Canis lupus familiaris: one gene and its partners. The protein of the gene in region 5 interacts with the protein of the main gene of each other region in a pairwise test. Links are inferred from orthologs where the notes say so. Each region holds a gene or a part of one and is shown on either strand. Other genes may lie near its edges. The genes, in order: ZMAT2, CTNNB1, CRMP1, DNM2, HTT, MTUS1 and IFT20.

Region 1 (4,253 bases), on a different chromosome or scaffold from region 5:
GGATGGGTGACAAGTTCCTCTGCCTCCTCCATCCTTTCTGGGTACAAAGCTGTAGGAGGTCCTGAGGACTCCTGGGCTAGTGTGAGCAGCTATTCTGCATGGGTGCAGATGGCTGGTATGTGAAAGAGACATGCTCTAACTGCAGAGACAGATGGCAGATTTGAAGTGCCATGGAATGCTGCCAACAGGTGCTGAGATGGTTGCTTTGAGCAAGGCTCTAGGAAGGTTGCCCCAGGCTGGGACCATTGAGATAAGAAGTCAGATACGTGGCCTTCCATTGTGGCTTCTGAACCAGATTCTGGGAAATTTGTCCACAACCTGCCCTTGGCTTGTCCAGGGAGTATTGGGAGATAGCAAGGAAGGGGCAAATGGCTGCCTTCTCCTTTTGAGGACAGAGATGCTATCCTAAGGGCATAGGAGTGCTCATGGTTGTGGCATCTCTAGCTCAACTGCTGTTAGTAGAGTGAGGCTGTCTGTTTAGTAATTTTGAATGTTGAATTTAATAGGTGACTTGACAAGATGGTCTAATCTTTTGAGATTTTGGAGACCATTTCCTGTGCCAGAATTACTGCTCGACTATGTTCCATGTTGTCCTATGGAGGTGGCTGTTCTAGAAATGATTGGATAATAAATAAAATACTAAATGTAGTAGTTTGAGTGATTTGTTATCAAGAGATTGGTTTGCATAGGCCATAGAAAACCCTCAAGTGTACACTGCACAATTCTGAGAACTAGGAGCAACCTCCCTGGGGTGATGCTTCTGGATTCAGTGAAGGAAACAGTCAGTTTTCCAGTGCCCCCACTCCACCCCCCATCAACTTGGAAATACAGTCACGTCTAAATGAACATAGTGAGATGCATGCCAGAGTTCACCCTACAGCGTTGCTGATGACTGGCCTTTCCAAGTCCCATCATGTTGATTAAATTGTGCCCTATTGATTGAATGATTATAAAGTTCCTCAGTTGAAAGAAAAATGATTTAACCGAATGATGATAGCATTGCTTCAAAATAAAGAGTGTGCAAAAATTGCTTTCTATATATGCGCTGGAAAGGCTGCAACTTAGAGACACTGGGTGTCGCGGGCCATATCTTTAGTGCATACAGGTAAATAGGGCAGCTAGAGGCTCCTAATAATTCCTTCAGCCTTAAAAATTAGAAACTTGGCAAACGGATGCACAGTTGCTTAAGACTAGATCAAAGGGCCCTGATCCAAATTGCTTCCTTGTTTATAAAATAGACCAGTTGAATTAAATCAGATGATTGTTTAGAAAACCAAGGCAAAAGACATTAGTACGCGCCCTTACTTCCGTATTGCTTCATGCTCTCCATGCGCATGCACCATTTCCGTGGGTCAGAGGAGGGGCCGACGACCCTGTTTTAGAAGTCCTTAGCTCGTTTAGAACGCGAAACTCTAAGCTTATTGGAGGGCAAGCTTGCTTTACGGCTCAGGGCCGCTTTTTACGTCATTTTCCGGCTTCCCATTCACTTCGCAGTGAAGATGGCGTCGGGCAGCGGGGTAGGTGTTGTGTGTGAGGAGGCTTTGGTCGGGGGGCAGAGGGTGCCTTCGTAGCGCGGAATATCCTGCACCCAACTGGCTTCTCGACACCTCCTTGCGGCCCAATGGTCCGAGTTCAAGAGCCTCCTCGTAGGGTCCTGGCACAGGGTCTGTGGAATCGCGGAGAACTCTTGGGTTGGGGTCCTGAGGCCACCTCAGCCTTCTGGTGCGGTGTGGAGAGTCTTCGCTCTCGACAGGTCCGGGGGGTCGCCTTGCCGGCGTGGACGCGGTTCCCTCCGTTTCTCTAGGGTTCCGATATGATTAGCGACGAATCTTGAGCGCTTTTTTCCCTACAGACAAAAAACTTGGACTTTCGCCGAAAGTGGGACAAAGATGAATATGAGAAGCTCGCCGAGAAGAGGCTCACGGAAGAGAGAGAAAAGAAGGATGGTGGGTGCCTACTCCCTAAAGGGCAGAGGTATCGTAGAGGTGAAGCCATAGCTGGAGAGCGGGTGGGGAGTTGAAATGCGATGTCCTGGTTGGTACCTTGTGTAACCTCTGGCTGAATGTTGCCTCCCTGGTTCTCCATTTCTTACTGTATAAAATGGGAGGAAAGAGATGGACTGAATATACTCAGAGGTATTTCCCAGCTCTGTTTCCTGTGCTTTCTTGCCTTCTTTTTGCTTAGCTCGTTTTGTACTTTCTTCAAGTGCAGAGAAGAGAGGAGAAGCCTTAGTAGTGACAGAGATGTGGAGTATTTTGCTGCTATGCACTACTCCTATTGAGGAAACTCTTTCCGTTGAAGTCACTTAAGGGGAAGAATATAACTGGTCCAATCAAGTCCTTCCCCTGTGGTCTGAGAAGAGTGAGGGTACTGGGAGGAATGTGTGATTGTTTCAGCTGGTGGTTAGTAGTACTGTTTCTCTGCTTTGTACAATGTTACGGAGTTGATTCTCCTCTCCTAGTTAGAGAATCCATTATACAAAAAGAATCCTTATTTTTTCTTATGCTTTCACTTTACTTTCACACCACCTTGCACAAACTGATCTTTTTAGTTTTGATCTAATTTGTACAGTAGCAAGTAACAGATATTGCCTGAATGTTGGTCCCATTTAGAAAATCTTCCCCAGCCTTCTAGAGATTCTTTTTTGTGTGTTACACTTGGGGTATCTGTCTGAAAGTATTACTGAGTGTCCTTGCTTTTCTTTTAAAAGTTTACTCTTTGTGAAAATTAATTCCTTTCTTCAATTCAGTTAACAATAAAAAACTTTGTTTTTAGACTTATTGGCTTTGAAGTGGAAAAAAGCTATGTAGAGTTTAGGGATTGCATATCATTTTTTCCTGTGTTGAGATTCTCCCTAGTTGCTGCTACAAGTGCTTTTTGTGCCCCCTGCTTCAGGCTTAAGAAAGAAATGAAGAGTAGACATCTGTGTATTGGGTTTCATGCATTTCTTTTCGTTTCTGCTTAAGGAACTCTAATAATAAAAGGACTTTCTTCTGTCTTATATTTTAGGAAAACCAGTACAGCCAGTCAAACGGGAGCTTCTCCGGCATAGGGACTATAAAGTGGACCTGGAATCCAAGCTTGGGAAGACAATTGTCATTACCAAGACCACGCCACAATCTGAGATGGGAGGGTGAGTGACTTTTCATCTTTTTCAGGAGCCAAGACTAGGTCTAATAAACTGTGTTGATTTTAGCAAGTGTCGAGGAGAGGTTCTCTGGCTCCAGGATAGCAATCATGTTACTTATAATTCTATCTTTATTTTTATTTATTTTTTTAATAGTCCTACCTTTAGATATTTCTTTGTGTCACTCCTGTTCCAGGCCTCAACTAAACATGGTAGTGTCTCTAGGAGGAGTTACTCTGTAGACCTCTTCATATTGGCACTGTAACTCTTTCTTAATATCTGAAGAGGAAGAAATGAAGGAAAGGACTCCTGAAAACATTTCTAGGGGAGAGATTTCTCGAGCTAGAATGGAGCCTAGAAGCTGTTGATGGTGAATAAAGGGAGTTGAGGTTCCAGACTGGCTGCAAAGGTTGTAGTTGTTACGGATTGCTTGGTTGTACACTTTCCTCCTAGACCAAGACTATGACCCATGAGAAGAGGTGTCCTGTAAGGACTTTTGTTTTTGCCCACCACTACTACAGTATTCATTTACGTTTTCTAGCAGGAGAGCAAAACAGATAGCAATGAGTGACATGTCTGAATTGCTTAGAAAACTTACATCAGGGATCCCTGGGTGGCTCAGTGGTTTGGCGCCTGCCTTTGGCCCAGGGCATGATCTTGGGGTCCTAGGATCAGGTCCCATGTCGGGTTCCCTGCATGGAGCCTCCTTCTCCCTCTGCCTGTGTCTGCCCCTCTCTCCCCCCCTCCCTGTTTCTCATAAATAAATAAATAAAATCTTAAAAAAAAAAAACACCTCACATCATTCTTTTCTGTATTAGTTACCTATTCCTGTGTAAATTAACTAACTCACCAAAATTTAGCAGCATAAAACAGATAGCTAACAATTTGGGTAAGTAATCTGGAAAGGCTTAGGGTTTCACAAAGCTGCAATGAAGGTGTCTGCTGGGTCTGCATTCATATGAGGCTTAAGTGGGGCTGAATGATTTGATTGAAAGCTCTTTCATGTAGTGCTTTGGAGGCCTCACTTCTTTGCCCCATGGGCCTCTAGTGCTGTTGACAATAAAGCAAGTGGCTTCCCAAGAGTAAGACATGGACAGGCTATTTATTTATTTATTTTAATTTTAAT
Region 2 (4,258 bases), on a different chromosome or scaffold from region 5:
ATACCTGGGAGCTGGAGTGGAGCTCTCAGTTTCCAGAGAGGTGGAAAAATAAAAGCTAAAATGCAGCTTCAGTGAGTAGAGAACATGGGTATTTCTTAAAGTGTGGTCTGTAGAAATCTTCATTAAAAATTTAGGTTTCTATGCCCCACTCTAGTCCTGTTGAATCAAAACGTTAAACACGTAATCCCACTTGGTATCTTAAAAGATTCTTATTGACAGGAATCACCTTTATTATTTTCTGACCTTCATTTTGTCATGTAAAAAAAGATCATCAGTTGTGTTTCTACTGTGGACACTAAACAATTGTATCCATAACTCTTGTTATCTTTACATATCAAGTGACCTTTGTGGCTATAAAAATCTAGTACTGCAAGAGCAATTTTAGGAATAATTAACACATGCTTCCTTTACATAGAGCACATAGGACTTCAGAGTGTAGTTTCCAACTTCTTTAAACATTTAAACTCCTTTTTACATGGATAGAGTACTCACTTCATGCTTAAATATTTTAGTCCATATCTTTACATATTGGTAAACCAATATGTTAAGTTGTAGTGTAAGATGAACTTGTTTACGGGAATACTTTGTGATAAAGGAAATGTTATTATTAGGAATATCTGGTGGTTGTGAGCCTTTACAAGACCCACAGTTCTAATTTGCAAGTAGTTTCCCATGTGATTCAGTGTTTTCCTATTACACAGTGAGGCCAAAATGTAAACATAGATGCTAGGATTTACATATATATAAATTATGTATTTATATATATAGTACTTTTGTAATATATATATATTTTTTGTAATGATCAAAACAGCATTCTGGTCGGTAATAGTTGTATTTATAATACATCCATACTATAAATTTGAACTAGACAGATTTTACTAAAAGGGTGATTATTGTGTTGCAGATTTACATTTGAAAAGTAATTTTAGTTAGTAACAGATCTCAAACCCAGTGTTCTGATCCAGTCAGCAAAACCTACTTTGTATTTTAGATGTCTTTGTATTCTATCAGGAAAGAAAAACCATTAGTGAAAATCTAGTTTTTTTTTAAAGTCCATGTCCAGTCTCACCAGAAAGATCTCTGAATTTTTCAGTGAAAGAAGTTAAAAAGAGAGGGGAGAGGTATTTTGGGAATTCGAGGAGTTATTTCCTACCTTGGCTTTCACTATAAATTTTCTTCCTCCTCAACAATAATTAAGCTTTCTGACATCCTGAATAACTGTAATTTGTATTTCTACCTAAAAAGAGGTGTTTACTAAAAGAGGTTCAGCAGTGGTGGAGCTGTGGGGAGTGTATTAAGGAGACCATGGAGTCTGGCTTTCACTCTCACATGGTAAAGGGGGATTTGGGGGCTTTTTGTGGATATAATCCATGATGTTTAGCAGGTCATCCTAGTGACTTAAAAGTACTAAAAACTAATTTTAAATCCTAATGACTTGATTAACTCTTTTAGGGTACCTGAAGCACACCATACAACGGTTTTGAAAATCCTGTGTGGGGAATGGCTACCCAAGGTTTGTATCAAAAGTCTTTAGTTACTGAATCGGGGCTCTGCTTCATTGCCATTAACCCAGTCTGGCTCAGATCCCCCTGCTTTACTCTCTCCCTGCTTACTTGTCAGGCTACCTTTTGCTCCATTTTCTGCTCACTCCTCCTAATGGCTTGGTGAAATAGCAAACAAGCCACCAGCAGGAATCTAGTCTGGATGACTGCTTCTGGAGCCTGGATGCAGTACCATTCTTCCACTAATTCAGTGAGTAACTGTTAGGTGGTCCCTTAAGAGTATAGATATTTCATCACTGAGCTAATCCTGGCTATCGTTGTTTATTCTTGGCTGACTTTCAGATTTGACTATTTCTAACAATATTTCAATGGGTCATCACAGATATTTTAATGAATATAACATCTCCATGGTGGTAATGCTAATATTGTTTGATTTTTATAGCTGATTTGATGGAGCTGGACATGGCCATGGAGCCAGACAGAAAAGCAGCTGTTAGTCACTGGCAGCAACAGTCTTACCTGGATTCTGGAATCCATTCTGGTGCCACTACCACAGCTCCTTCTCTCAGTGGTAAAGGCAATCCCGAGGAAGAAGATGTGGATACCACCCAAGTCCTGTATGAGTGGGAACAGGGCTTTTCTCAATCCTTCACTCAAGAACAAGTAGCTGGTAAGTATTTTATTGCCTTAATAAAAGTTAGAAGGCAATTTTAAGAATGATTCTTTAAAAAGTTAGTATGTAATAGCTTAAATAAAATGGTGTGGTAAAGAAAACATGGAGTGATTGTAATGTTACCTTTACCACTTAGGGTAGCACAAATTCAGGTGAATGCTGAATTATGGACAGTGAGTGTTGAATTTATTTTTTCCAGATATTGATGGTCAGTATGCAATGACTCGAGCTCAGAGGGTGCGGGCTGCTATGTTCCCTGAGACATTAGATGAAGGCATGCAGATCCCATCTACACAGTTCGATGCTGCTCATCCTACTAATGTCCAGCGTTTGGCTGAACCATCACAGATGCTGAAACATGCAGTTGTAAATTTGATTAACTATCAAGATGATGCAGAACTTGCCACACGTGCAATCCCTGAACTGACAAAACTGCTAAATGATGAGGACCAGGTAAGTAAGGACATGGCTAGCTTTTAATCTGCTTTAAAGGAAACTCTCAAGGAGCCTCAGAATGTTTATCCGGTATCAGTATTTGAAAATCATAATTCTGTCTCTTAATTCCTATACATTATAGGTGGTGGTTAATAAGGCTGCAGTTATGGTCCATCAGCTTTCTAAAAAGGAAGCTTCCAGACACGCCATCATGCGTTCTCCTCAGATGGTGTCTGCTATTGTACGCACCATGCAGAATACAAATGATGTGGAAACAGCTCGCTGTACTGCTGGGACCTTGCACAATCTTTCTCATCATCGTGAGGGCTTGCTGGCCATCTTTAAGTCTGGGGGCATTCCTGCCCTGGTGAAGATGCTTGGGTAAGAAAACATGGTTAGGATGCTTGAAGCTAAGGAGGAGAAGGGTGCCATCACAGCCTTTCTGATGAGGCTTTTTTTTTCTTCCCAGTTCACCAGTGGATTCTGTATTATTTTATGCCATTACAACTCTCCACAACCTTTTATTACATCAAGAAGGAGCTAAAATGGCAGTGCGTTTAGCTGGTGGACTGCAGAAAATGGTTGCCTTGCTCAACAAAACAAATGTTAAATTCTTGGCTATTACAACAGACTGCCTTCAGATTTTAGCTTACGGGAATCAAGAAAGCAAGGTAAAAGAATTTTTCTGAGTATGGCTCATGGAGCATTGGGGAATCCAGTGTCATGTCCTTCTGTGGACTCTTGCACATTCTTTGTATGCCTCACCCTTTGTGTGTATCCTAGAAAAAAAGCTGGACATCTCTTTTTCTTTAAATATTTGTTTATATAAGGCTAGGTGATAAGGATATAGTGGGCATACTTAGAGCTTTCATACTTAGGTGGAAGATAGGCACTAATTAGAGATAATAACCTAATTACTATTTAATTCATGTATCTGGAAGAAGTAGAGGGGCTGTGATAGCATATACGTGAACCACACCCTGCTTGGAAGGTTTAGAGAGACCAGTGGAAGGAAGTGATAGTGGAGTTCAGTTCACAAGGATGAGGAAAGACTGACTAGGTGAAGGTGAGAGAGAGGAATTGACACCTTTGAAAGTCCTACTGAGAGAGGAGAGGGATGAATTTACAGAGTAAAGAAGAGGAAAGGTTTGAGATGAGAGTATTGAGATTAGCAGGGAAGGTCCTTCAGGGCCTTGTAGAATATGTTTTTAAAAAGTAATGGAAAGCAGTTCAGTATCAGCAGAGGCATGAAGTGAGGAGATTTGTTTTTAGAAAATCAGGATAGTTTGGAAGTAGGGGTCTGCAGGAAAGTAAAGGGCAAGAATGAGTAATTATTTTATGATACTTCATTTTAAGTAGGTGAATAATGATTAGGAAAAGCCAAGAGCCAAATCATTAGGAGTTCTAAGCACCTGTTCTGGCTCAAATTTTCAAGAAATCTGCTTTGATATACCATTGATATATGGACAGTACTGTTGCATACCAACATGGTTTCTGTTTCTTTTGTTCTGATCAGTGTGAGAGGAAGAATATTGGGGAAAAGTTGAGATATTCTTGGGAGTACTGGGATGCCTGAATTTGAGTGGAATGGTGTAAGAGGGGCTAAACGTGGTCCCAGTATGGGAATCTGGGGTAATGGGGTTCAGGG
Region 3 (3,500 bases), about 9.8 Mb from region 5:
CCCTGTTTCAATTTGAATTAAGTAAAATTAAATACAATTTTAAACGCCTTCCTTGGTTGTGCTAGCCACATTGCACATCTCGAGAGGCACAGAAGGCTAGTGGCCGCCGTCCTGGGCAGCACGGGTACAGAACATGCCCATCACTGCAGGACGTGCTCCCGGACAGCCAGATCGCCGGAGCTCAAAGCTGCCGCAGCCGGGTGGCCTTGCACAGCTGTGGCAGTGCTGCTGGCCGGTGTCCGGCAGCATCTGTCCGCGGGCGGATCTGAGGCTCTGCCTGTGGGCTTTGCTCTGGCCTGCTCCTCGGAAGGCAGCCTGGGATTCCGAGAGTGAATGCTCTGGCAGCAGCCCTCCCGCGGTGGGTTGGTGGATGCACCGCCCGGCTCCCTTCCCTGGGGGTGGCACGGTCCCGAGGTGCGGTCAGTAGTCTCCCCAAGGCCCCAGTGGCCCCAAGCTGCAGGTGCCCATGGCCGTGACTTGGTCATAACTCACCTGTTCTTGACGTCTTTCTCTGTCACCTCCTCAATCCCCCACCAGTGCCGCCTGGAATCACCTCCCAAGTAAGACACTTGAACTTGACTCCTGAACTTGAAGATCTGCTTCTGGTAGACTCCACACTGAGACAGCACAATCCATCCCTGTGCCTGGACTGACAGATCTGCCAAAGGGCATAATGGTCCTTTTCAAATCCGAAAAGTATTACCAGTCCGGGAGGTTGCTGGGGTCAGCCGGTGCCCAGCGCCTGGCAGCGGGGGGTCACTGGGCTGTGTGGTGATGCAGGGAAGAAGGGCAGACAACCTATTGCCCCTCAGAGCATCGTTCTCCTGTCTCTGACCCTCTGACTTTCGTGCCCCCAGACCCTCCTCAAAAGACCATCACCTTTGTGTGTTTGCCCCTACAGGCCCCCTCGTGTTCGGCGAGCCCATCGCTGCCAGCCTGGGAACTGATGGCACCCACTACTGGAGCAAGAACTGGGCCAAGGCAGCGGCCTTCGTGACCTCCCCTCCCCTGAGCCCAGACCCTACCACACCTGACTACTTGACCTCCCTGTTGGCCTGGTGAGAGCCGAGGGGGTGGCTGGGCGATACTGGGTATAGTGTGGGATATTGGGAAGCACCCAGGATTAGAAACGAGAATCCAGATTCACCCTGTATTTGTCACATAACCCAGAATGGCTTTTTGCTTTGGTTTACTCATTGGCAAAATGGAGGAGAACATAGTACCTACTGTGGAGCTGATTATGTGTGACAGTGTAAGAAAATGGCCTAGAATCTAGGGTTCAGCAAGTGGCTACTGTTACTTGCAAAGCACCTCTTGGGTACCTGCACACAGTAGGAGCACAGCCACCTTGGTCCCTTCCCTTCTATTGGCCACCATGAGGGAAGAACACTTAAGCCGCAAGAGAAGGCTAAGTGGTGAGGTGTGCAGGCTGCTCTGGAAGCAGAGGTACATGCTCAGAACCAGGAAACTTGTAGAAGGCTTCATGGGGGAGGCAACATCAGGCCAGAAGCTAGAGGATTAGTAGGAATTCGCTGGATTGGGGATAAGTCCAGGCTTCTGGTCTTAGCCTTGGAGGAGCCCCATGGGGGTGAGGATGTGAACCTACCATGGAGATTTCTTTCTCCCAAATGATGCAGAAACACTTGACTTGACTATCCACAGGCTTACTCATCGTCTGCAAACTGATGTCTGGTGGGCAGATCCAAGTCCAGACAGACTCCCCATCTCCTCCACAAAGCTGCTGCTCCCACAGTCTTGCCCATATCTGAAGATGGCAGGAAACAGGCCAAAGGTCCCAGGATCTGACCACATTTTGCCCCCTTGGCGATGACCGTCATGGCTCATCTCCAATAGGCCTGTTTCTGTGCTCTTCCTTCCATGCCCCTAACATGATACAGTCTATACCCAACAAACACCCAGATTTTAAAACCCAAATCAGACCAAGCCACTCCTCTGCCTGGAGATTTCCAGGATCCTCTTCTCTTAGCATTGAACACAAGTCTCCACAAGTCTCCAAGGCCAAGCCTGATATGGCCTCACCCCTCATTGAACCTCACTTGGCACCTTGTTTGGGTGGATGCCCACTCTTCCAGGTGAGGAAGAGGAGGCCCACCTGGGGAGTCTTATTCAGAGAGCCCAGAGCCCACACTGACTGAGCCTTTTCCCAATAAGACACAGGCCCCCAAAGGGCCTTCCAGTGTCACTCACTGATACCCATGAAGTGCCCCAAATCCCTTCCCCAGAATCTCTTGGGGTTTTCATTTCACAGCGTACATTGGGTGCCTGAAATTCAACCTGAAACTCAAGTCTGATCCCCACCTTGTTTTCATCCTTACAGTGGAGACCTGCAGGTCACAGGTAGTGGCCACTGTCCCTACAGCACTGCCCAGAAAGCAGTGGGCAAGGATAACTTCACTCTGATCCCAGAGGGGGTCAATGGGATAGAAGAGCGGATGACTGTTGTCTGGGACAAAGCAGTGGTAAGGTGTTCCTTGTTTTTCTATCCCCAGGAACATTCTAGAAGCTCCCTGCCTGGCCCCTCAAAAGCTAGCACTTTGCGCATTGCTGGTTGTCTTTTATTTTAAGATTTATCTATTTGAGAGAGAGAGAGAGTGAGAAGAGTGAGTAGAGGGAGGGGCAGAGGGAGAGAATCTTGAAGCAGACTTCCCTCTGAGCATGGAGCCCAGTGTGGGGCCCAGTCCCACCACCCGTGAGATCATGACCTGAGCTGAAACCAAGAATCAGACGCTCAACCAACTGAGCCACCCAGGTGCCTCTGCACAGCTGATTCTTAAAGCTCCTCCCTTCCTTGCTTTGATGCAGGTGCAGAACACATCAGGAGGGCATGCGAGGAAACGTGTCTCTTAACAAAGCAGCACAGACATGACAGCTCCCCTTTATTCTTTAAGGATGCAAAATATTTTCTTTAGCTTTGTTTTGACCACATCTCAGTTCCTGTAAAGATGACTTTGTAAACCGCGTGTGTGTTTGGGGTTGAATACAGAGGGTGCTTGTCGCGTCACAGTAGGAAGCCCCAGGTCACACTCTGGTCCCTGACTTGAACCTAAGATTTTTATTTTCTATTAAACTTGGACCCAGTGGGACTGACAAGATGGCACAGTGGTTATTGAGCAGATGTCAGTATACCTCTGAGCGGTCAATTGCACTTCCGTTCTGATGGGGCCAGGCCTTTGTGCCCTTTCATGATGGCCTATTTGCAGCGGGGGAGGAGAAAAATCCAGACTTCTCTCAAGGACTCCTGTCGGCAGGTCTGGATTTGTGCCTGTCTGCTCTTCCCCCAGCCCTGTTATGGGACATTCTCCTCATCTGTGGATCTTGCCTTTAGGCTACTGGCAAAATGGACGAGAACCAGTTTGTTGCTATCACCAGCACCAACGCAGCCAAGATCTTTAACCTGTACCCCAGGAAAGGGCGGATTGCAGTGGGCTCAGATGCTGATGTAGTCATCTGGGACCCTGATAAGGTGAAGACCATAACAG
Region 4 (3,500 bases), on a different chromosome or scaffold from region 5:
AAATGCGGGCACCGGCTCCTCCTTGCATGTCACTAACCAGCTGACTCTCCTTTCTTCTCTTTCCCTGTCCCCCGCCCCGCGTGTGTGGCCCGCACTGTCCCCGGGTGTCTTCCTACCTCGTCCCGCCCTCCGCATGTGACCCAGGACGGGGCTCTTCACCCCGGACATGGCCTTCGAAGCCATAGTGAAAAAACAGATTGTAAAACTCAAAGAGCCAAGTTTGAAGTGTGTTGATCTCGTGGTCTCAGAGCTGGCCACGGTCATTAAAAAGTGTGCCGAGAAGGTAACCGCAGGTTTTGTTGTCCCCTGCGCATTTGTCCCGCATCTCCTCCCCACCCTCCCACCCCCCACGTTAGTCTCCACCTGTGCATCTGGACACTCTGCCTCGGCGGGAACCCCCCTCCCGGGGGCCACTGGTCACTCAGTGCCCTCGCAACTTTGCGTGGCGGCAGAGGTGGGGGTGCTGCAGCGCATGGGTGCTCCCCGTTTCCAGTTTGGGTGCTGCGGAGGGTGGGAGGCCTGTGGATGTTGTAGGGTCTGATCACTAAGCAGGCCGTGGGGGGACGAGCGGCGCTGCCTGGCCCAGAACCCGTAAGGAGGGTCTCCTCACAGTCACCAAGCATGAACCGTTATCAGCATGCAGACCTGCGTGTTCTCATGTCACAGGGCATTTCAGAGGGTTTCTGCTAGGGATTCTGACTGTCGGCTCAGATGTCCCCAACACTAGGGCTTCACCCCACCCTCGGATGGTGGGCTTCTCCGTGCCTTCGGCTCCATTACGATGGGGGAATAGTTTTCTCTAAGGGGGTCCCTCTGAGGTAGATGGCCCAGATGCTGCCCCCACATCCTAGAACAGGCGCTACTCACTCACGAGCTGGGCGAGAGTTCCCACCCCACTGGCCTGGTGGCCTTCATTAAACTAGGTGTTCTTGCTCTCACCCAGTACTGGGCGGAGGGGGTGGCCATCACTGTTGGGCAGCAGACACACACACCCCCAACTTTCTCTTGCCACTTTCCACCTTCGAATCCATTCTCAGCATCTCTGCTCGTGCGTGGGCACCCCTGTCACTCTCTCTGGCACACCGTGCCTCCACCATCCCCTGCTTGTCTCCCAGCTGCAGCAGCCAGGAGACAGGAGTGGGGTGGGGACTCGGTAGGCCCACCCCTTGTCACTCCCCTTCCCCTCATGTTCTCTGTGTGGTTCATGTTGCTTCCTGTGCCACAAGGACTCAGCCAATGCCGCCACTCTACTTCTCCCCCTGCCCCCCAGCTCAACTCCTACCCCCGCTTGCGAGAAGAGACGGAGCGAATCGTCACTACCTACATCCGGGAACGGGAGGGGAGAACCAAGGACCAGGTATGGGCCTTTTGTTTTGTTTTTCAGGTATGATTTATGTGCATGAATCTTTTTTTTTTAATGTGCTTAAATCTTGAGCATAGATTTCCTTGAATAATGGCACATGCATAAACCAAGGTAACCCCCACCTCAGTCAAGGTACCAAACCATTCTCAAAATTCCTGTCCTTTGCCCCTTCCCAACCCCCGGGCCCTGGCAATGACTGGCCTGCTCCTTATCCCTATGTTTTACCTTCTCCAGAATATCACTCAAATGGACTCCTGTGGTCTGTAGCCTCTTGAGTCTGACCTCCTTTGCTCAGCATAGAGCATTCAGGATTCATCCCTGTTGTTTGTGGTGTTGTTGCTAACGCTTGCTGAGTGGTGTCCAGGGGTGGGTGCAGACTACAGCTTATTTACCCATTCGCCCACCAGAAGATGTGTGGGTGCTTTTTATGTTTTAACATTTTCCTTGTGAAGACCGTCCAGGCACACACAAGGATAGAGAGTGGGACAGGTCCCTGCAGAGCTGTGGCACGGGTCTCACCTGTCATGCCGAGTGAGCCCATGGCTGTCCTTTCATCTCTATAGGACTTGTATCTGGTCTGAGTCCCTTTCCCCTGGTTGGTCTGCTTTGGTCTCCTGGCAGGTGTTTGTTCAAACTAGAGCCAAAACAGGCCTCTGTGTTGTATTTGGTTGTGATACCACCTCGTTTTGCATGTCAGTGGAGAAGAAACTGGCTCATTTGTCATTCAGAGGGTCTCCCAGTCAACCTGCACCCCTTCCCCGTGGCTTCTGTAACCTCGAAGTTGTATCAAAAGCTTGAAAGGTGCCAGTTCATATTGTTATTGTTATTGTCAAGAATGGCTGTCGCTTCCACACTCCCATGGCGCCTGGTTGTCCCAGTGCCAGTGCTTCTGGGCTCTATCCCAGGGCTCGGGCTGATGGGGCTCGGGCCTGTTAAAACCAACAACAGTGGCTCCCACAGACAGAGCACCCCAGCATTTTTCAGCAACCCCACAAGGTCCAAGTGGCTGGCATGTCTTATGCTTGAGTGCCCAGAGGCACAGTGAAATGACAGGAAGGGGTAGGGTGTGCTGTAAAGGCCTGTCTTTTACCTTAGATGACATCCCAACTGATGCCTGTGTTTGCATGTGCCATTCTGATGCCCTCACCTGGTCAAACTACCTTTGCTGTTTGCTTGTGGTTTTTCTTTTCTTTCTTTTTTTTTTTTTTTAAGTTTTATTTATTTATTCATGAGAGGCACAGAGAGGCAGAGACATAGGCAAAGGGAGAGGGAGAACCAGGCACTCTGCAGGGAGCCTGATTCGGGACTCGATCCCAGGATCCTGAGATCACAACCTGAGCCAAAGGCAGATGCTCAACCACTGAGCCACCCAGGCTCCCCACCTTTGCTGTTTTAACAAAGCAGCCCTTACAACATGCCAGGTGCTGCTCCGTAAACACTTGACATGCTGTGAATTATTTAACCTCATGCAGTGGGGCCTCTTGTTGTCCCTTTCAACTGTTTGGTAACACAAGGCCAAGGGTCACACTACCAGGCAGTGGCCGAACAAGACTGCAGCCCAGATAGTCAGCCCCAGAGGCCGTGCCTGCAACCAGCACATGACTGCCTCACTCTGCTCTGTTGGCCCGGTCTTTCTTTCTCATGGGGCCCTGAAGTTTCAAAGTACCCACGCCCCATTTTCCAGGGTAGGGGTTGGAGGTGAGGTATGGGTGTTCCCCTTCTCTTGCGCTGGAAGCAGTATAGTCCCAGCCATCGCCCCCTGCCGGCAGGTATGGGAAGTGCTCTGGCCACAGCCTTCCCTGCCAAGCTTCTCTCCCTACTCATAGTTAACCGTTTTCTTCCAGATTCTTCTTCTGATTGACATCGAGCAGTCCTACATCAACACGAACCACGAGGACTTTATTGGATTTGCCAAGTATGTATTTCTCAGGATAGAGGCTGGTGGGTGACACAAGTGCCCTGCCCTCAGAGCCTGGCCCCAAGAGAGGTGGTCGAGTTGGCTTCCCTCAGCCGACGAGGGCAAGAGGGTCTGTCTGTCAGAGTCCCGGGGTGAAGCATACAGCCATCTGAAAGTACCTGGAAGCTTTCCTGGGCTGATAGCGACCCCCATCATTGTCCTCAACATGCCTCCTGTGGG
Region 5 (4,101 bases):
CACAAGGGCAGAGCTTTATCTGTTGATTGCTGCAGCCCTGCAACTATTAGCACAGAGGCATACATTAGATGCTCAGTAAATATTTATCGATGGATGAATAACTAAAGTCAGGTGGAAACCAGGTGGGAATCTGAAGGACAGTAAGAAAAGCACTAAACACAAATGTCAACTATCTCATAATAGAGTTAGGACCGTCCCCACCTCTGGCACTCCCCTGCATGCCAGCCCTGCTGAGATTCTAGCCGGTCCCCTCCCACAACCCCAGCATCCCTGCATCCTACATGCTGAGCAGCAAGCAGGCACTAAAGCCCACGCATGGCTGTGACACTACAGCTCCACACAACAGAAGAGAACCATAAAAATAGAACAGATACTTTCTAAATCATTTTTGGACAATCCTGCTTTGGGGAATGGATTTTTCAGCTGAAGCACCTGAACAGAAATGCCAGGATCCAAACTTGTAAGCAGAGTCTGTTACTCAAAATTCATAAATTTCTACTTTCTCAACAGCAAAGTGCCTACAAATATGATATTTATGTATTTTATTTAAAATAACTACTATTAGGCCCATCAATGTAGTTGATTTCAGAGCATGCTAGGAAGCTTTAAAAGTTACTACTCTGAAATATTTCTATTTTAAATAACTCGAAATCTCTCTTCATGTATCCATGGGTTCTATCTGTAAGGGTACAGAAGGAAGAAGTTTAAGAGAGCTTGCCTCTGGGAACACAGTTAGGTACTCAGGAGAAACAGACGGAAGAGAGACATTTTAATTATTATATTTTTGTAATTCAAGAATTTGCATCATGGGAGTGTACTATTTACATGAAAATAATAAATTACGCTTTTTAAATAAGTCAATCACATATGACCTTAAAATAGGGTAATAAAACAACATCTATCTACTTTTGCAAGGGCAGTTTTAGAAAAAAAAAAAACCTACTTTATACCCATATTTTGAAGATAAACAAATTCAGATTCTGTCAAATCAGTGTAAGAAACAGATGGCACATTTTTAGACTGACCAAGTATTTGAACAAGCCTACAGTGACAGCAGTAAGGTCTCCCTTCCCACCCAAAGCCCTCCCTCCTTAACGCTTCCTGTTATACAAGACCCATGCAATGTGTGAACTTCCATGACATCTACCTCCTAGAGAGAGGCAGTCCAATAAAAGTCTGGGATGAATTATGATGATAAATTACCTGATGTAGAAAGAACTCAAATTATTTTTTAAGTATTTTTTTTCTCGAAGCATCCAAACAGGTTTTTCACCTCTTAGAAGAAAAATTAATTTACTTCTAAAGTCTATCCTAACAGCCAAGTCAACATCACTCCCCAAGTCATTTTCTAATTGAACTCTCAAGACATGGCAAGGACCACGTCAGAAACACAAAGAATAAAAAAACACTACTAAAATTGAACGTGACATTATAAAGGGGCTGCCCCTTGGAAACTGTCCTCATTAAATGCCACCACGCATCCAGATGGCAAACCCAGACGCCGGGGGAGAGAGGCCCGGACCGCCGCCGAGCACTCCCGCACTCCCGAGCTCACGGAGCCCGGGGAAAGTACCTGGGTTCCGCCGGCAGGAGCGGTCTCCAGGCACGAGCAGCAGAGACCCCTAGCTTCCAAACAGTAGCACGCAGGCGTCTCCAGCGAAGGAAACAGGAGCCACCCACAGGGACCGCAGGCAAGCCGAACTCCGAGCTGGTGTAATGCACATCATTCCTCCCCCAGCGCTGAACCTCCCTCTCGGCAACGGGTTGTTTTTATTGCCAAGTGAACACAGGCAATAAACTTCAGGCGACTCTTCCTAATAATGACCTTCTAAGCAGCTCACCACTTCCTTGGGTCTGCAAACCAGCTTGAGCTTAGACACGCGAGCGGATCTCCTCCTGATGCCAGCGGACACGCCTCGGGAGGATGCGGGAAGGCAGCCTCGAGGCGCAGAGAAGAGCCCCGCGGCGCCGGGGCCGCACTCCCGCGCCCTCCCCGCCCCCGCGGCCTGAAGGCATGATGTCACCGCTCTCCCCCCGCCCCACCCCCCGCGCTCGCTCCCAAGCCCGGCTCGCGGCGGGGTGTCCGGCGCCCGCGCTCCTTCCTCTCAGGGACGCCCAGGGGGAAGGGAAGCGGCGGCCTCGGCTATCCAAGTTCTGCCCACAGCACAGCCCGTTTCGTGCAGATACAAAGCAGCAAGTTCCTCCCCTAACTTCGCACGCCGGGAAAGGCGGGGGGCCGAGGCCGTGCCCGCCTCGGTGCCCTCGGGGGCGGCCGGCGAGCCCGAGTCCGCCTGCCGAGGGGCGCAGACACCCCCGGGGCCGGGTCTGGCCGCAGGACGGGCGGCGGTGCGCGCCCGGGGTTCGGGGAGCCGCGGGGCCGGGGTCTGCAGGGGCGCCGCAGCCCCCCGCCGTCGCGGGGCCGGAACTGCCGCGAGGCGGTACTCACGGTCGGTGCAGCGGCTCTTCGGCCACCGCCGGGCCCGGGGGCGGCGGGGGCGGGGGCGGCGGGGGCGGCTGCGGTAGCGGCGGCTGCGCCTGCGGCAGCGGCTGAGGAGGCTGAGGAGGTGGCGGCGGCGGAGGCTGCTGCTGCTGCTGTTGCTGCTGCTGCTGGAAGGACTTGAGGGACTCGAAGGCCTTCATCAGCTTTTCCAGGGTCGCCATGGCGGCCTCCCGTCCCGCGGGGACAGCCCCCCGAGCCCTCGAGCCGACCGGCGGCGGCGCTCAGCAACGCGGCAATGAATGGGGCTCGAGGCCGCGGACATGAGCGGAACCAAGGAGCCCGGCCATCTTGGACCCGTCCCGGCAGCCCCCGCGGCCGTGCGTCTCTCGACGCTGCGCCGGCGGGGCGGGGCCAGGGCGGCGGGATTGACAGCCCGGGGCGGAGACCTCTGCCAATGGCCGGCCTAAGCGCCGGCCTAAGCGCCGCCTGCCCCTCCCGCGCCCGCCCGCTCGGCTCCCAGCACCGCCGCGCGGCTGAGATCACAGCCCCACTTTCCGGTGGGGGCGGGGCGGGGCCCGGCGGGGCGGAGGATGGGGGCGGGGCCGGGGCGGGGCAAAGAGGGCGGACGAGGCAGGGGACGCGGCGGGGAAGCACCTGCGGCGGGAGGGGCGGAGCGGAGGAGGTAGGGCGCAGGGTGGGAGGCGGGGCAAAGCACAGGGTGCAGGGTGGGGGCGGGCAGTGAGGCGGGGCAGAGAGGACGGGGGCGGGCGGGGGGCGGGACAAAGAGGGCGGGCGTGGCAGGGGGCGCGGCGGTGAGGCACCTGGGGCGGGAACGGCTGGGCGCGCCAGGCAGAGGATGGGGGGGGGGCAGGGGGCGGGGCAGAGGTGACAGGGCGGGGGGTGAGGCACGGCGAGGCGGGGAGGGGAGGGGAGGGCCTAGGACAGGCACCCGGTAGAAACCTGCCGGGTCAGTGCCTGCAGCCCGCAGAGTCTGTGGCTGGTGCCACGAGCAGCCACTTAGACCCCAGAGGCGCCACGCATAGCAATGATGGCCCAACCCTAACGGGTTCGCTTGGAGGAGAAGACCCTTGCTCCACAGAGGTCTGCAGGGCACCTCCTGCTTAGGGTGGGTAGGCTCTGAGAAGGGTCCTGGGCTCCAGAGCCCCACTCCTTGGAGGCGAGGAAGTGAGCCAGCAGAGGACCACAGAGGGCGGTGGCGCATCAGGGGGCACCCTGCCTGGCAGGGAGTGGGTTGGCCCCAGAGAGAGTTGCCTGGGGAGGGGAGAAGGGACGGGGGTTGATGCATGCACTATGAACCCTCCCGATCCCACTCTGCCCACAGGCCACAACTCCACCTTCTCTCACCGCCAGTCAGTTGTCCCAAGTGGTCAGATAAAGGGAAGCCCAGCGGCACCACAGAAGCATTGCCCCTGAGGGGAGAACGACAGGACCCCCCCCCCTTCAGGGAAAGGACATCAGAGAATGTGCCCCCAGCCTGGAGGGCCTAGTTCCCTGAAGTTAATAATGAGGTGTGTACCAGGTCTCAGGCATGGCAGGCCACAGCGGCCAGGCTCCAAGTGTCGGGTGCTGTGGTCTGCAGACATTAAGACAGCCAGGTGACCCCTTCCTGATATTCATGATATCCATGCCTTCGTATGATC
Region 6 (3,500 bases), on a different chromosome or scaffold from region 5:
CCCACTCAGCTTAATAAAGATTTTATTTGACACACAGAGACAATACAGGCAGTGGGAGCGGGAGAAGTAGGCGCTCCTCTGAGCTGGGAGCCGGATGCGGTGTCCCATCCCAGGACCCTGAGATCATGACCTGAGCCCAAGGCAGACATTTATGGGACTGAGTCACCCAGGCACCCCTATGTTGTAGCTTTTAAAATGTGTTCTTTCTAAAGTTGGTATGCTCTGGTGATTTGTGTTCAACATACTCTAATACTTTGTTTTTATTACTGTATTTTTGAAATCAGCTTAAATTAAGTAGAAGCTTAAAATCCATTTATTTCTTATCTCCGATCTTCCTTGCCCCTTGTGTCTTAGCTTCTCCCTACAGGCTCTTCAGCCTTAGAGACGCCTCAGCCAGTCAGAGCCTCCCCTCCTTATGGCCCCTGCACTGATCGGTCAACACACAAAGGGTGCTTCTCCCTTGGAAACCTGGTTCTTTTCAAGTACTAACGTTACTACTTGCTAGATGGTTGTGTGTTAGGCGGGGTGAGGGGGTCGAAAAGGGGTATTGGTTTTGGTTTTTATTTTGTGGTTATGGGGCTTTTATTTTGCTGCCAGTGACCATTTCTTCTTGTTCCTATTTATCGTTCACTTTTATACCATTATATTTGAAAATCTGGTCAAGAGACAACAAAGTACTCAGAGTACTGTGCTAATGTTTCCAGAGTCCTCACAACTATGTGAGAATGTGGTGAATTTAGGATATTCAGCAGATGAATTTTTTTTTTTTTGCCTTTTTCCCCTCTTTTAGTCACTGCTTCATCTACCTGTGAGAAATTAGAAAAAGCCAAGAATGAGTTGCAAATAGCTTATGAAGGATTTGTCCAGAAGCTGAACCAGCAGCACCAGACCGATCTATCAGAGCTAGAGAATCGGCTTAAAGAATTTTACACCGGGGAATGTGAAAAGTTCCAGAATATTTATATTGAAGAAGCAGAGAAGTATAAAACTCAATTGCAAGAGCAGGTCTGTGCCTTTGGAGTCTGATCATGTCCTTGGTCATGACTATTTGAATTCTAATTGTTTGATGAAGAACTTCCTTTGAACTTCTTTTTATTTAAATAAGTGAAAAGAGGTTTTTCGATTTTTTCTTAGGATCAAAGCAATGTTGAGTGAAAGAAGGAAAGAAAAAAAGAAAAGTTAAAAAAAAAAAAACCTTCCTTACTACCTGGAAGTAATCCCTTTTGATGTTATACTGCTACATGATTGGTTTGCATTTCTTCTTTTTTAAACTGACACTTAATAACCCACATTTTTCATTTAATAGTATATCATAAGCTTCTCTTTAATTTTCTCACTTCCTTTTAAAATCAATTCTCCATTTAGTAAGTATTTACTGAGTGCATACTATATGCTGGGCACGTGCCAGGGACTGCAGATATGAAGACCAGTATGACAGGCATGGATCTTCTGTGGTCCTATCACCGTGAAACATATCATTAATTATGATGAACTTGGCCTTTTGCATCAGTGAACCCTGGAGAACCTGTGTGTTTGTGTTCCTGAGCGAGGAGAGAGTGGAGAATTGGGAGTGACAGATCCAGCTTGGGTTGTTCTATCCATATTGTCAGGCAGCCTTTTAACTTGAACGCAAGTTTATGTGTCAAGTGTCCTAATACTGCTGCTTATTATTCAACTTAAGACTTTTAATTTTACTGGTAAACTATTTTTTTTTTTTGCTTCTAGTTCGACAACTTAAATGCTGCCCATGAAACTTCTAAGTTGGAGATTGAAGCTAGCCACTCAGAGAAGATTGAATTACTAAAGAAGGCCTATGAAACCTCCCTTTCAGGCAAGAATTCTTTTTTTTTTTTTAATAGAATCAGATCTAATGGAACAGCATGATATGTTTTAAAATGGAAATGATTCATAACTTTCCCTTCCAGAGAATACCCTGTGGTATTCAGTTGGGAATGTTTTTGCTTTCTTTTTGCACTGTTCATTGTAAGCAGATGCCCTTTCCCCCTTCGGATGCAAATAATAGTTTGTCACAAATGCCTTTTAAGATGTGAGACTAACTTTTATAGAACATAAAGGTCTTTTTGGCAGTGGTTGTTCTTTACCACCTGAAGTTGCGGGAAGTTGAAAGTGTTAGTTTATATCCTGGACATGGTAAAGGACCCATGCTAAGCAACACTTGCTTGCCAGTAGTCTTGCACAACAGACAATGCTGTGAAAAGAACATGGCACTTGCTGAGTTAAGAAATAATTTTTTAAAAAATTATTTTATCATAATTAGAAAGATTGAAGTAGAAGGAATAGAAGGAGCCACTTCTTTAAGAACACAGAGGGTAGTGGAAGTTATTACACTTAGCTCTGCTTGTCCCATAGAAGAAGCCTGTAGACATGGGGTAAGAACTGGCTGGCCTGCCTTTGGCAAAGGCTTTTCTCATCAGAAAAATAGAGTTGTCACATGAAGTCAGAGATGATAATATGTAAAAGTGACTGGCCCAGGGTAGATATTTAGTAAACATTGTCATTCTTCCTTCCTGCTAGAATTGGGTTCAACTTTAGACTTGTGTTTGATTCATGAAGAGCAAATGGAAAAGTGCACAGGAACTCGAGTGCAGGAGTGTGAAGGCCAGTGTTTGAGGCCCACACACCTGAGATGGACATGCTGTATCCTGTGGCCTCTGGGCCTCTGTGCTCTCCATCATAAAATGGAAGTATCTGTGTTCCTCCCATCATAGGCCTAATTGGAGAATAGCTAGCTTAATTCATTTAAAAGCATCTTACAAATATAAAGTAACATAGTCATACGGCCTCATAATCAACTCTTAGATCTACGTGCTTTAACAACTATTGAATACAATGATCTCATAGGATGTCATTGCCTCCAAAAAAATCCCTTCTTTCCAGAAATCAAGAAAAGCCATGAAATGGAAAAGAAATCACTTGAGGATATGCTTCACGAAAAGCAGGAATCGCTGGAGGTAGGTAAATCTTATTTACACCTGCTTCCCCAAAATACCCTCATTCCTGAGGTTTGTGTGGTTTGGGCAGTGTTTCTGTGTACATTTGCTATGTTTCTGGTCTCTGCCTGTTAACTTGTGCTCCACATTTCATTGTTTGTTTTAGAAACAAATCAATGATCTGAAGAGTGAAAATGATGCTTTAAATGAAAAGTTGAAATCAGAAGAACAAAAAAGACTATCAAGAGAGAAAGCAAATTTAGTAAGTTGTGTGTGCTTCTCCATCACTACTGAGTTTTCTTCTGTTCAGCTGCCTTGGAGGGTCAATTAAGTGTTCAGTAGCTAGAGAAATGATATGGGTTTGGGGTCCTTTTCATATTTTGCAGAATGACTTTTTTAAACTGGCTTCTTTGTTTACTGGTGTCTTTTTAGAAAGCCTCAGAACTGACATACAGATGAAGCTCAGTACATTGCAAGTGGCCTAAGCTGATAGCCACAGGAAAACAAGAAAACTGACAATGAGAGTTAGGGTATCATGGGAAAACTACA
Region 7 (4,079 bases), on a different chromosome or scaffold from region 5:
CAAATTTCTTTGGTGGCTTGTCCTGGAGACTCACTTGCCTCAAGGATGGAGTACGGAGGAGATGAACCTCACCAGCAGATTGTCCAATCCCTAAGTAACACGTGATAGTATGAAATCACCTCACCTTCCCCCACCCACCCCAATGGAGTAAATCCACTCCTTAACAGGTTTTAGCAAGTCCCCTATGCATTTTGAGTCTAGCCCCGATTTCCCCAGGATCAAAGAAAGCAAACATATGTTCCGCCAAAGTAAAGGAACTCAAAGGCTAGGGGGTGGCCAACAGAGCCTACAAAGCAATTGCTTTGAGCCCCTGGATGACGTCAGCTCAGATGCCGACCGCTCAGATTCCTCCCGGGCCAATGGGCTCCAGGAATCTTTGGCAGGTGACGCCCCAGAAAGTAATTCCAGAGAGAATGAAGTTTCCACTGATAGCCTCACTGCAGTTCCTTCCGGACTTTGTGTGTGGGTATTTGGGGATGCCTGGGGCTGAGGGCGTATCCGAGTCTCCCTCAGTGAGGCTAATGGGAACCTAAGCAGAATGAAGGGCAGGACCACAACCACGGCCGTGGAAGAAGGCGGGGTCCTAGAAGACGGACCCATGGGTCCATGACACTCGGTGGGGTGGGTGGGGGGCGGGTGGCCAATCTTGGGTAGAGGAGGCGGATCCAGCAGAAATCCGAGGTGTAAATCTTAGGTTTCGTCCCAAAGGTCTGGAAAGATTAGCGAGACCCAACCTCTCCGTGGTCGGTGGAGTCTTCCCCGGGCCGCACCCCTCCTCACACCGAGAAGCCGACCGATTCTGACACGCACCCCAGTGGAGGACTTGCGCTCTCCATCTCCCCTCCGCCGTCCCACGCCTTCTCCCCAGCCCCGGGTGGGGCTCCTGCCCCTGCTCCTGCTCCAGCCCGCGGCCCGTCCATCCTGTCCCCCAGGGCATCCGCACCCCGCCTCTCACCGTTCCCGGGGGGCACGTCTCCTCTCAGCTGGGTTGCAAGCCGACCCCGTGCCGCCCGGGGCTGTGGCCGCCTGCCCGCCAGCAATCCCGGGCCGTGAGCTCACATCCTCCGCCCGCGGACTCCGCCCTGAGCCGCGGCCCAGCCCCGCCCGCCCCGCCGCCATGCCCAGCACCCAATCACGGGAGAGGGAGGGGCCCCTGGGAGAATTCCGCTGTTGGCGTTCGGCTACTTCCGGCAGCCTTTCCGCCGCAAAGGCCTCTGGATCTTGTAGGCAGCCGTCCCTCCCCACAGGCCCTTTTCCCAGCAGGCTCTGCGGGTTGGGCGGGGTAAGTACTTCCGCAGTCAGGTAATGACGTTACGGGTAAACAGTAGCCGTGGCAGCGGCTGAGGCCGGCGGGCGAGGCACCGGCTGCTGCTGCCCGGGGAGAGAGGCTGCCTGCAGGAAACAGCTCGGGCGGTAGCGCGCCGCCGCTACGGGGTTGCCAGGTAGGCAGCGACTCCGGGCCGGGGGACGCGGGCGGACCCGGGGCGACTGAACCTGACAGGCCGAAAGAAACGTGGGGATTCCGCGCGCGTCTTTGCGAGCGGTGAGACTCCAGCTGGGGCCTGGAGCTTTGCGTGGATGCTCGCAGCGGCCCTGTGACGAAACCGCGGCCCAGAAGTTCGAGGCGTTTCCGTAGTGTGGACAGCCAGCTCCATCACCCAGGTCTTCCTACCTGTGTGCCCGGCGCCCCTTGCCGACTATCCCGCGAATGGCGCCTGCCGGCGGGGCCGGGAATGGGTCTGGGAGAGCCAGGGAGGCGGAGAGTGTCGCCGCCGCCGCCGTCTTCGGGGAGCCCCGCGCGGCTCTGGTGCCCGGTGTTCCTCAGATGCTCAGACACGCACGTGTGGTGGGAGTTGGGAGGGAATCTGATAGTCGGCTGTGAACCCTCTCCCTGCCCTCCTTATCCGGTCTTATCCGTCTCATTCAGCTCTGCCCACCGAACTTAAAAGTTGGCGCTCGAGCCAGATACAGGGGAATCTTGCCTGCCTCTTTCCTTCCCTCATCCCAGACTCCTACATTCAGTCGGGGCTTTACTAATTACATCAGCTTATGTAACATCGCAAATGGGGACGCTTTTCTTCCAAGCCTTGGGTACTGTAATAGCCTTTTCTGTTTCCAGTCATTCATTCCACAGACATTTACTGAGTGCAGGCACCCTGCTAGATGCTAGGGTTACAGCGATGAACAAGGTATGTGTAGCCCCACTCTCTTGTTCCCTCCTCCACCCTGGGTCAGAGTGATGGTTGTAAAAGACACATATGTCTGCCTTTCCTGCTGAGAATTTGCTGGCTGCCCACTACCCTTATGATAAAACCCACGTTCATAACTGTGGCTTTCAGAGCTCTCCATGAACGCTCAGGCCTCCTCATCTAGAGTTACCTCTTCCACATGCCCCCTTGTTCACTGGGTTTTAGCCTTATGGTTCCTGGAATGCATTACATTTCTTTTAGCCTCAAGATTTTGACACATGCTTTTCCTTCTGCCTGGAATGCCTCCTCCCTGCTTCACTTGGCAAACTTTTGGACATTCTTTAGGTCTCAGCTTAAGTGTCATGTTTTCAGAAGCTTTTGTTGAGACATTCCCTGCCCCATATGAATTCTGTCCTCTTGCTGCAGCTTCATATGGCACCGTGTGCTTTTCCTCATACTGTCCTCACAGTTTGTGGTTGTTTACTGTCTGTCCAGAGATCAGAAACTAAAGCATTTTCTTCACCACTCTGTCTGCAGAGCAGGGACTCAGTAGGTGTTTCTGAATAAATGCATCCTCTCAGGGCAGGGAGTGGAAGTGGAGGTAGATATTTGCTACCTAAGATTACTGGAAGCTTTCTAGAGCAGTTGGTCTGATTAATCACCTGGTAGGTGTTAAATGCTCAAACTCTGTGTGTAAATGTAATAGAACAACAGGAAGGCAGATTTTTAATAAAAGATTTAATTTATTTATTCATGAGAGACAGAGAGAGGCAGAGATATAGGCAGAGGGAGAAGCAGGCTCCCTGCAGGGGAGCCCGATGTGGGACTCGATCCCGAGAGCCTGGGATCACGAGCTGAGCTGAAGGCAGACGCTCAACCACTGAGCCACTCAGGCAGGTCCCAGGAAGGCAGATCTTTTTTTAAAAAGCCCAATTAATTGAACACCAATAAAAAAATAAATTTATTAAAAAAGAATACACTTATCCTGATGCACACTGAGAATATAGAATTGTTGAATCTTTATATTGTACACCTGAAATTAATATATTACTGTGTGTTATATTTAAAAAAAAGCCCAATTAAAAGGAAGCTTGAGATGATTAAAATGTTTCAGATGCTAGCCTATTTCCTTCAGTGGATTCCAGTAGGCCAGAGACTCTGTGTCCCAGTCATACACAATCTATAGACATGCATTAGTTGGCCCACAGTGTTGGATGTGGTTTTTCCTTTAAAGTTTTGAATTCAGTATTTACCTTTAAAAATCAGATTTCAAAAATAAATAAATAAATAAATAAATAAATAAATAAATAAATATCAGATTTCATATATAAATCTGGATTTTTGGCTGTCTTGAAAATCAGTTCTGGCAGCCACGGGACACAATTCTTTTTTAACCACTGCTCCTCCTATGGTCTACTTGCTCTGGGAAGTTACTCCCATAACAACCCCATGTGGAACAGAACTTCTCTCAGGAAGCTGGAAGGAAAATAACTAGGGAAGGTGAGAGCAGAGGAAAGTGCTGGCGCAGGGCCAGCTGGTGGTAGCCCTTGGAACACCTGGCGTTTGGGAATTGCCTCCCTTTTTGGACAGGGAGTGTGCTTTTTAATTTGTGTGCATTGGGGACGCCTGGGTGACTCAGTGGTTGGGCATCTGCCGTTGGCTTGGGTGGTGATCCCAGGGTCCTGGGATCGAGTCCCGCATCAGGTTCCCCTCAGGAAGCCTGCTTCTCCCTCTGCCTGTGTCTCTGTCTCTCTGTGTCTCTTGTGAATAAATAAAACCTAAATATATATATATATATATAGTGTGTGTGTGTGTGTGTGTGTGTGTTTGCCAGGATGAATGTGAGTTTTCAGTGTTTTCTTCCCAGAATGGAGGCATCTTTTGGACCAG

What was found.
Region 1: the proteins of HTT (region 5) and ZMAT2 interact in binary tests that used the Homo sapiens proteins (3 or more experiments, as listed by UniProt). The link is inferred for Canis lupus familiaris from reciprocal best matches to the Homo sapiens genes HTT and ZMAT2.
Region 2: the proteins of HTT (region 5) and CTNNB1 interact in binary tests that used the Homo sapiens proteins (3 or more experiments, as listed by UniProt). The link is inferred for Canis lupus familiaris from reciprocal best matches to the Homo sapiens genes HTT and CTNNB1.
Region 3: the proteins of HTT (region 5) and CRMP1 interact in binary tests that used the Homo sapiens proteins (3 or more experiments, as listed by UniProt). The link is inferred for Canis lupus familiaris from reciprocal best matches to the Homo sapiens genes HTT and CRMP1.
Region 4: the proteins of HTT (region 5) and DNM2 interact in binary tests that used the Homo sapiens proteins (3 or more experiments, as listed by UniProt). The link is inferred for Canis lupus familiaris from reciprocal best matches to the Homo sapiens genes HTT and DNM2.
Region 6: the proteins of HTT (region 5) and MTUS1 interact in binary tests that used the Homo sapiens proteins (3 or more experiments, as listed by UniProt). The link is inferred for Canis lupus familiaris from reciprocal best matches to the Homo sapiens genes HTT and MTUS1.
Region 7: the proteins of HTT (region 5) and IFT20 interact in binary tests that used the Homo sapiens proteins (3 or more experiments, as listed by UniProt). The link is inferred for Canis lupus familiaris from reciprocal best matches to the Homo sapiens genes HTT and IFT20.

Annotation. Positions count from the first base shown.
Region 1 is NC_049223.1:34,979,058-34,983,310, forward strand, and holds the start of ZMAT2 (zinc finger matrin-type protein 2), read left to right. Parts: upstream 1-1,453; 5' UTR 1,454-1,499; coding exon 1,500-1,517; intron 1,518-1,852; coding exon 1,853-1,946; intron 1,947-3,009; coding exon 3,010-3,133; intron 3,134-4,253. UniProt on the Homo sapiens protein: Involved in pre-mRNA splicing as a component of the spliceosome.
Region 2 is NC_049244.1:10,788,915-10,793,172, forward strand, and holds the start of CTNNB1 (catenin beta-1), read left to right. Parts: upstream 1-1,458; 5' UTR 1,459-1,500; coding exon 1,501-1,513; intron 1,514-1,944; coding exon 1,945-2,172; intron 2,173-2,374; coding exon 2,375-2,628; intron 2,629-2,752; coding exon 2,753-2,991; intron 2,992-3,079; coding exon 3,080-3,281; intron 3,282-4,258. UniProt on the Homo sapiens protein: Key downstream component of the canonical Wnt signaling pathway.
Region 3 is NC_049224.1:71,589,735-71,593,234, reverse strand, and holds part of CRMP1 (dihydropyrimidinase-related protein 1), read left to right. Parts: intron 1-901; coding exon 902-1,058; intron 1,059-2,338; coding exon 2,339-2,480; intron 2,481-3,346; coding exon 3,347-3,500.
Region 4 is NC_049241.1:50,820,771-50,824,270, reverse strand, and holds part of DNM2 (dynamin-2), read left to right. Parts: intron 1-144; coding exon of another isoform or gene 145-283; intron 284-1,270; coding exon 1,271-1,357; intron 1,358-3,207; coding exon 3,208-3,278; intron 3,279-3,500. UniProt on the Homo sapiens protein: Catalyzes the hydrolysis of GTP and utilizes this energy to mediate vesicle scission at plasma membrane during endocytosis and filament remodeling at many actin structures during organization of the actin cytoskeleton.
Region 5 is NC_049224.1:61,750,089-61,754,189, forward strand, and holds the start of HTT (huntingtin), read right to left. Parts: upstream 2,801-4,101; 5' UTR 2,662-2,800; coding exon 2,447-2,661; intron 1-2,446.
Region 6 is NC_049237.1:41,851,329-41,854,828, reverse strand, and holds part of MTUS1 (microtubule-associated tumor suppressor 1), read left to right. Parts: intron 1-790; coding exon 791-1,005; intron 1,006-1,725; coding exon 1,726-1,831; intron 1,832-2,898; coding exon 2,899-2,972; intron 2,973-3,117; coding exon 3,118-3,213; intron 3,214-3,500. UniProt on the Homo sapiens protein: Cooperates with AGTR2 to inhibit ERK2 activation and cell proliferation. May be required for AGTR2 cell surface expression. Together with PTPN6, induces UBE2V2 expression upon angiotensin-II stimulation.
Region 7 is NC_049230.1:42,556,709-42,560,787, reverse strand, and holds the start of IFT20 (intraflagellar transport protein 20 homolog), read left to right. Parts: upstream 1-1,279; 5' UTR 1,280-1,442; intron 1,443-4,079. UniProt on the Homo sapiens protein: Part of intraflagellar transport (IFT) particles involved in ciliary process assembly. May play a role in the trafficking of ciliary membrane proteins from the Golgi complex to the cilium.